Macaca fascicularis: one gene and its partner. The protein of the gene in region 1 purifies or fractionates together with the protein of each later gene. This does not show direct contact. Links are inferred from orthologs where the notes say so. Each region holds a gene or a part of one and is shown in the gene's direction. Other genes may lie near its edges.

Region 1 (3,652 bases):
TACCTGTTTGAAAGTATCAGCTGTGGTGTCAGCCTGCTCTTTTAGATGGAGGGCATTGAAGCTTAGCTTCTCATGTTTTCTTGTACAATTTGGTTTTATTCAGATTTGTAAGAGTGTAAATGTAAAACTCTTTCTTACTGGAATGTCCTTTACAGAAGGTTGAGATAGTCATCTGAGCCTTTTTGAAGTAAAAAACTGCAGGTGAAAAAGGAGTTAGTTGAATTGAAAGTTTTATGTGAAATTCTGGGTTGTGTAAATAAAAAGTTGCTAGGAATTGGCAAGGTAGTGAAGTGGTGACTCATGCAGGTAATGTAATTGTTAGATTTTTTAGCAAATCAGATAGGCATATGTCAATATAAACACAATGTTGAATTCAAACAATCTGTTGAATTAAATTCTGCTGATTACAGTAATTCTAATTTAAGAAAAATTCCAAACTGTAGATTTATTTTTCTCTGATCAGTAAAAAAAAAATTGAATTCCAGCTTGACTTTAGCTGTTGAAGTGAGAAGTCTGAGAAGGTGCATGTTAATGAGCCAGTGACCCATAGGTAGCTAGGTTAAAGACACTTTGGATTTGGATAATCCGGGAAGCAGTTAATCCCTAATTGTTGAACAGGCAGTCCTGGGTAAAGAGGACCTAAAATGCTGCACTATTAACAGCATTAGACGGCCAGGTTTGTACTTCATAGATTTAGGCTGTCTTCTTCACAAGTTTTAGAAGAAGAATTTAGGAGCTAGAGCCCTGGTGCAGGATCAACAGCAGCTCATACTCCTGTTTCAAAATAATTTGGTCGTGGCCTCCCTTCAGTTTTAATGTGGCACTGGTAAATCTACCTGGTTCTGGCATGCTTCACTTTGATTTCCTGCTATCCTCTACTGCTTGCCTCTAAATCAAGGTAAAGAGCAGAGCAGGTATGTATTAATGTCACATTGTCTTGATTATTTTAAATACTTAAAATATACATGTTAAACCTTGGTATTAGTTTCAGAGGCAGTTTACTTTTCAGTACATAATTTAAAAGGAGTGACTTGGTGGGAGTGGGGCTTTAAACTGAAAATTGGAACAACAGCATGATGTGGAGAAAAGTTGTGCAGCGTTAAGTACATGCAAAAATTAAATAACCAAGTTTTCTCTACATAGCATATATGTTTACATTGGATGTCAAAAGTAACACAGTATTTGATATAATTACAGATAATTGTGATCTACATTTTAAAATATCAAGAGATCGTCTCAGTGCTTCTTCCCTTACAATGGAAAGTTTTGCTTTTCTTTGGGCTGGAGGAAGAGCATCTTATGGTGTGTCAAAAGGCAAAGTGTGTTTTGAGATGAAGGTAAATGCAATTTTATGATGTTTTTGTTTGATTTTGGAGACAGAGTCTCACTCTGTCCCCTAGGCTGGATTGGTGTGGTGTGACCCAGGCTCAACTGCAACCTCCTCGTCCTGGGTTCAAGTGATTCTTCTTGCCTCAGCCTCACAAGTAGCTGGGACTATAGGCACGTGCCACCACACCTGGCTAATTTTTGTATTTTTAATAGAGAACGGGGCTCCTGACCTCAGGTGATCCACCCACCTCGGCCTCCCAAAGTGCTGGGATTACAGGCTTGAGCCACCGCACTTGAGCCAGCCTTTTTTTTTCTTTTCTTTTTTTCTTTTTAAAATAGTGACAGGGTCTCACCATGTTGCCCAGGCTGGTCTTGAACTCGTAAGCTCAGGTGATCTGCCTGCCTGGGCCTCCCAGAATACTGAAATTACAGGTGCTTCATACTGCTAAGTTATCAGAGGTACTTATTTTTTGAAGCTTCCTGTAAATTAAAAGAGGAACTTGGAACCTTCATTTTGTTGTGACAGTTAAGTTATGTTAGAACTTGACATGCAGAGCTAGGCAACTTTTTATTTAGGGTACTTCATTTTTATCAAGCATTTGAAAGGGCCACCAAAGAGTGAAAAATAAAATTTGGTTAGATTACAGGTTTTGTTGGCGAGAAAAACATTAAATGTATCCTTTAATTGGCTTTAAGTTGAAGACTGACAACATGAACTGTAAAAATATTAACTATTCTTTTAAGTATGGGTCAAATAAGTATTTAACATTTCAAGTTATAAGCACATCAGTTTAAAGTTCTTACAAATATTAGGGATGGGCTAGAGTGTGCCATCTCTTTGTATTTATAGCTCGAGGAAGATTAGCTCATGACCCTATGAAATAAGCCAGAGTTAAGGGGTTACCTCCTTGGTTTATGATTTTAATTATTTAATGATTCGACTTTCAGGTTACAGAGAAGATCCCAGTAAGGCATTTATATACAAAAGATATTGACATACATGAAGTTCGTATTGGCTGGTCACTAACTACAAGTGGAATGTTACTTGGTAAAGATTCTTTTTGACTGATGTGGGCTCATGAATGTTTAGGAGGGTCTGATATCCTTATTTTTTAACCAGACTAGAAGGCATTCTAAGCCTTTTGTCTGTTTTTATCTATTCTGTTAATACTTCAGACAAGTAATATTAGCACATAGTAGGCACAGGCTACATTTTAGTTTTTGTTCCTTTATTAGAAGTTTATGGTTGAAATAAAATCTTACCCATGATATGCAAATTGTCAACTAATTTGGTCTCTGCATATATATATATCCCTCCTAACTTTCATCAATTCTAGTACAGAGGTAGAAAAGTAATAGTGTCAGTGACAGGTGATTAGGTTATATGCTCATTTCTCTTGTAGCCTACATTTTAAGTAGTGAAATAGATGAGTCTTTGGACTATTTTAAAAATCTGCTTCACGAAGGTTAATTACTTTCTTAGGTGAAGAAGAATTTTCTTACGGGTATTCTCTAAAAGGAATAAAAACATGCAACTGTGAGACTGAAGATTATGGAGAAAAGTTTGATGAAAATGATGTGATTACATGTTTTGCTGTAAGTTAAAGCTAACTTTCTATGTATAAATGGCAAATTAGTAGCTATATCTAGGAACTTTTAAGAAGCTTTATTAAGGTCAATCTTCAATAGGAGCAACATAAATACACCAGTCCCTGGGTTAGTATAAATACTCATTCAGCAGTTGAATTGGGAAAATACAGGACATTTTTGAGGAACTCACTAATTTCATTTTGACTGAAAACAATGAAGATGAAATTGACCTAGAAAATTTAGTCTAACTTCTAGGTCACTATTGTTTCTGGTTCTGGAGATCCGTGCTTCATTGTTTGTAACCATCAGATTTCTTAACTGTGTAGCCCTTAGAGGCCACTTAATAGTTGTTTAACCTGTAGCTCCCACAGGATAAGCTTTGCTCCTAATTTTAATTATTAGTTTTTTAGAAAGTTTACAGGAAGCAGATAACTTGAATTTTTTGCTGTTTAACAGAACTTTGAAAGTGATGAAGTAGAACTCTCCTATGCTAAGAATGGACAAGATCTTGGCATTGCTTTCAAAATCAGTAAGGAAGTTCTTGCTGGACGGCCACTCTTCCCGCATGTTCTCTGCCACAACTGTGCAGTTGAATTTAATTTTGGTCAGAAGGAAAAGCCATATTTTCCAATACCTGAAGAGTATACTTTTATCCAGAATGTCCCCTTAGAGGATCGAGTTAGAGGACCAAAGGGGCCTGAAGAGAAGAAAGATTGTGAAGTAAGTGATTTTT
Region 2 (4,178 bases), on another chromosome or scaffold:
CGAGGCGGGTGGATCACCTGAGGTTAGGAGTTCAAGACCATCCTGGGCAACATGGCGAATCCCTGTCTCTACTAAAATACAAAAATTAGCCGGGCGCGGTGGCTCAAGCCTGTAATCCCAGCACTTTGGGAGGCCGAGACGGGCGGATCACGAGGTCAGGAGATCGAGACCATCCTGGCTAACACGGTGAAACCCGTCTCTACTAAAAAAAATACAAAAAACTAGCCGGGCGAGGTGGCGGGCGCCTGTAGTCCCAGCTACTCGGGAGGCTGAGGCAGGAGAATGGCGTGAACCCGGGAGGCGGAGCTTGCAGTGAGCTGAGATCCGGCCACTGCACTCCAGCCTGAAAAACACAAAAAAACCAAAAAAAAACAAAAATTAGCCGGAGGTGGTGGCGGGCGCCTGTAATCCCAGCTACTCAGGGACGCTGAGGCGACAGAATCGCTTGAAGCCGGGGCGGGAGGAGGTTGCAGTGAGCCGAGATTGCCTCCAGCCTGGGCGACAAGAGCAAGACTCCATCTAAAAAAAAAAAAAAAAAAAGAAAGGAAGAAAAAGACAAACGATTTAAAGGAAAAATGTAAGTAAACAAAAGTACAAATGCGATGTCAATCGTTAAGGTGGTGCCAGGGGACCGAGGATCGGGAAACACCAAGGTCTCATAGTCCCTGCAGGGCATCTCGGGGGGAGGCGACGGACAGGTCGCGAGCGCGGGGCTTGGAGGACACCAAGGTCCAGGGGGATGGCGGGTTCAGCCCCCTCCCTCCGACCCGTGCTGAGGGCTTTGGAGGACCCCCACTCTCCCAACCTCGGAAGCCCGGGTTCTGCCACTTCCAGCCATGCGTCCTTGGACTGCGAAACTTTCTCCAGCCTAGTTTCCTCTTTTGGGACATGGGGAGGCGGAGGCTGCCAATGCTGGGATAGAGTGCTCGAGAGCAAGGGACTAGGGCCTCGACGAGCTTACAGTCCGGTTAGGCCCTCCCACCGCTGTGCTGTGGCTGCTCGCCGCCCTGGACCCGGCGCGGTCCGGCCCGGCTGCCGGAGCCCTCGGTACGGGCCGTAGTCGCGCGGGTTCTAAAATGAGGACAAAGCCCGCCCGCGTCTAGAGCGCGCGCGCCGCCGCGGCCAATGGGACGTTGACGCTAGGTTGAGTGACGGACTTGAGCAGCCAATGAGCGTGCAGTTTGTTGCGAAGTGGGCCCCGGCTCCGGCATTATAAAGGGCGCCACGAGTCGGCATTGTCAGGCGGCGGCACCGCGCGGGAGGGAGCTTGGTTGTGTCGGTGGGTTCCCGTGCGGCGGCGGCGGCCAAGGAGGAGGAGACACAGTTGGAGCAGCTCCGTGGGCTGACTGGGGCGAGGCCTCAGCAGCGCGAGCTTGAGTGCGGCCGAGCCCGCGGCGCCTTCCCCGGCTGGTGGGGACGAGCGGGCCCCGCGGCGTCATCGGCGGCGAGGTGAGCGGCGGCCGGCGGGCGGGAGCTCTGGCGGGAGCCGCGCCGGCCTGACGCGCTGTCGCCGCTGGTTGCAGGAGCCGCCGCGCCTCGGCCTAGCATGTCGGAAGCGGGCGAGGAGCAGCCCATGGAGACGACGGGCGCCACCGAGAACGGACATGAGGCCGCCCCTGAAGGCGAGTCCCCGGCCGGGGCTGGCACGGGCGCCACGGCGGGGGCTGGAGGCGCGACCGCGGCGCCCCCGAGCGGGAATCAGAACGGCGCCGAGGGCGACCAGATCAACGCCAGCAAGAACGAGGAGGACGCGGGGTAGGTGCGGGCGCGGGCGGACGGGGGCGCCGCCTTTGTTCCGGGGCCGCCTTTTGTTGGCGCCACGCGGCGGGGGGAGGGGCGGCGGCCTGGCCCGGGTCGGGGCCGGTGCGGCCCGCGGACTGTCGCCGCTGCGTTCGCGGGCGGGCCTGGCGCTGCCACTCGCGCTGGAGTTTGCAGGAGTTTGTTGGGTCAACTTTGGCGCCGCCCCGGGGCCGTTTGTGCGCTGCCGGGGCCGGAGCCGGCGCAGGGGCGGGCGGATGGCCCGGAAGAGGGAAAGCGCTCGGACCCGGGGCCGGGCGGCGTCTCGGGCCGCGCCGGGGCTGCGTGGGCGGAGTTGGCGCGAGCCGGGGCCCAGGCCTCCCTCCTCCGCCTTTCCCGGGGGCGGAGTCACGGTCTGAACCCTGGGCGGGCTTGGCCCCCGGAAGCATCGAGTTCCTTGAAAAGAGTTCTCAGGAGGTGGCGAAGACGCTGGCCCTTTGATACATGGTTGTAGATAACAAATGAATTTCCAGTTGTGAGTAGTTAGGGCCCATGTCCCTGGTGAGGTGGTCCTTTCTTTGCTTCTCACAGCCTGGGGCTGCAGAGCCTTGTTAAGCTTCGTTAGGGTCCTGGTTGAATTGAATTTGGAGGGTAGTGGAGATTTAACATCCTTCTAAGGTGCACCTTGCAGACTCTAAGGGTAGCTGTAGACTTTGTGAGAGCTTTGCCAGGGCCAGTCCTTTCCAAAATCACAGCTTGCTTATAAGACTTGTTGCCATGTGTCTCACCCTACCATTTCAGAAAAATGTTCGTTGGTGGCCTGAGCTGGGATACTAGCAAAAAAGATTTAAAAGACTATTTTACTAAATTTGGAGAGGTCGTTGACTGTACAATAAAAATGGATCCCAACACTGGACGGTCAAGAGGGTTTGGGTTTATCCTGTTCAAAGATGCAGCCAGTGTGGAGAAGGTAAGCTGGGTGCTGGATTTCAGCAGTCTCAGTGGAAACGATTTGAATTCTAAGAGGACACCTTTCTTACAGCATGACTAGTTTGTGTGTTCTGCATGTGGTTGAGTGCTTTGGGCAAAGCCAGAGGTTATATTCCGGTTTTTGAGGGGATGAAAATACAAATTAAGCTGGGAGTGAGAGTATGTGCTGGAGTGGTTCGGGAAGATTATAGTTGACATTCATTACCTTTTATGTGCCTATTCTGGGCACTGTGCTAAACATCTGGGAGGATTACAAGAGAGTCTAAGATTGCTATGATAGGCTGTTAGCCCCATTTTACAGGACAAAAACCAAAACCCTGAGGCTCAGACATTTAAGTAGAAGAGGTCACAGCTAGTAGGGAGTGGAGCGAGGATTTCATCCCCTGCAGCCCATCTTCAGCCTGTGCTGAGTCCCTGCTGCTTTGCTTCTGGAGATGGGCCTCACGCTGGGACTGCTTGGGCAGAAAGAGCATGATCAAAGGCTTGAGGGTGAGGACTGCTTTCTAGGTGTCGAGGTAAACCAGCTGTACTTGAGGTTTGAAGAAAATTGGGTTGGGAAGTTAAGCTGGGGTAGAATTTGGAGGGGGTGAAACACATTTTTTATCTGTGCTGGTGTCTTCATGGCTTAGAGAGAAGGGCCTTGTCTGGCTCATGCTGCTGAGTCAGCCTGACCCCTTTCTGTTGGAACAGGTCCTAGACCAGAAGGAGCACAGGCTGGATGGCCGTGTCATTGACCCTAAAAAGGCCATGGCTATGAAGAAGGACCCAGTGAAGAAAATCTTCGTTGGGGGTCTGAATCCTGAAGCCACTGAGGAAAAGATCAGGGAGTACTTTGGCGAGTTTGGGGAGGTGAGTGTGGCCCTGGGAGTAGCCCATCAGCTGCCCTAAGGCTGCCTTCTTTCTGGTCCTTGGTATCCTTGGCTGAGTAGACCCTCCCAGGCAGGGCTTATTTTTCACTCTCTGCCTTCAGTGGGGTCTTTTCTCTTGTGAGTCCCCTATATGCTCTGGGGTAGAGAGGTATTGAGCCTGAGTTTGCCTATGCTTTTTGCAGATTGAGGCCATTGAACTTCCAATGGATCCAAAGTTGAACAAAAGACGAGGTTTTGTGTTTATCACCTTTAAAGAAGAAGAACCTGTGAAGAAGGTTCTGGAGAAAAAGTTCCATACCATCAGTGGAAGCAAGGTAAGGTGTCCCCAACTCTGCTGGGCATCCTGTGCTGCTGGAGAGCTGGCCCTTAGAGGGGTGGGGGTTAGGGGTTGGGCCATGGTGCAGGAGCTCTCCAGGTTGGTTAGACCTAACTATTTCTCTGAAGTGTATGCTGCCCTGGTTGGGGCAGTGTTCTGATCCTTCAAAGACTTCCCGGGCTGGGAGGACTGCCAGTAAACAAACACAGGATGTGAGGGAGGCAGGAGAAGGTGGCCTCTGAATAGAGCAGGTTGAGTAGCCTCTT

What was found.
Region 2: the proteins of HNRNPU (region 1) and HNRNPAB purify together in Homo sapiens (affinity purification with mass spectrometry; 4 studies listed by BioGRID and IntAct, with this or other methods). This does not show direct contact. The link is inferred for Macaca fascicularis from reciprocal best matches to the Homo sapiens genes HNRNPU and HNRNPAB.

The regions. Positions count from the first base shown.
Region 1 is NC_088375.1:4,317,995-4,321,646, forward strand, and holds part of HNRNPU (heterogeneous nuclear ribonucleoprotein U), read left to right. Parts: intron 1-1,197; coding exon 1,198-1,337; intron 1,338-2,277; coding exon 2,278-2,377; intron 2,378-2,812; coding exon 2,813-2,925; intron 2,926-3,375; coding exon 3,376-3,639; intron 3,640-3,652. UniProt on the Homo sapiens protein: DNA- and RNA-binding protein involved in several cellular processes such as nuclear chromatin organization, telomere-length regulation, transcription, mRNA alternative splicing and stability, Xist-mediated transcriptional silencing and mitotic cell progression.
Region 2 is NC_088380.1:184,983,091-184,987,268, forward strand, and holds the start of HNRNPAB (heterogeneous nuclear ribonucleoprotein A/B), read left to right. Parts: upstream 1-1,240; 5' UTR 1,241-1,449; intron 1,450-1,523; 5' UTR 1,524-1,546; coding exon 1,547-1,755; intron 1,756-2,538; coding exon 2,539-2,707; intron 2,708-3,417; coding exon 3,418-3,576; intron 3,577-3,778; coding exon 3,779-3,910; intron 3,911-4,178. UniProt on the Homo sapiens protein: Binds single-stranded RNA. Has a high affinity for G-rich and U-rich regions of hnRNA. Also binds to APOB mRNA transcripts around the RNA editing site.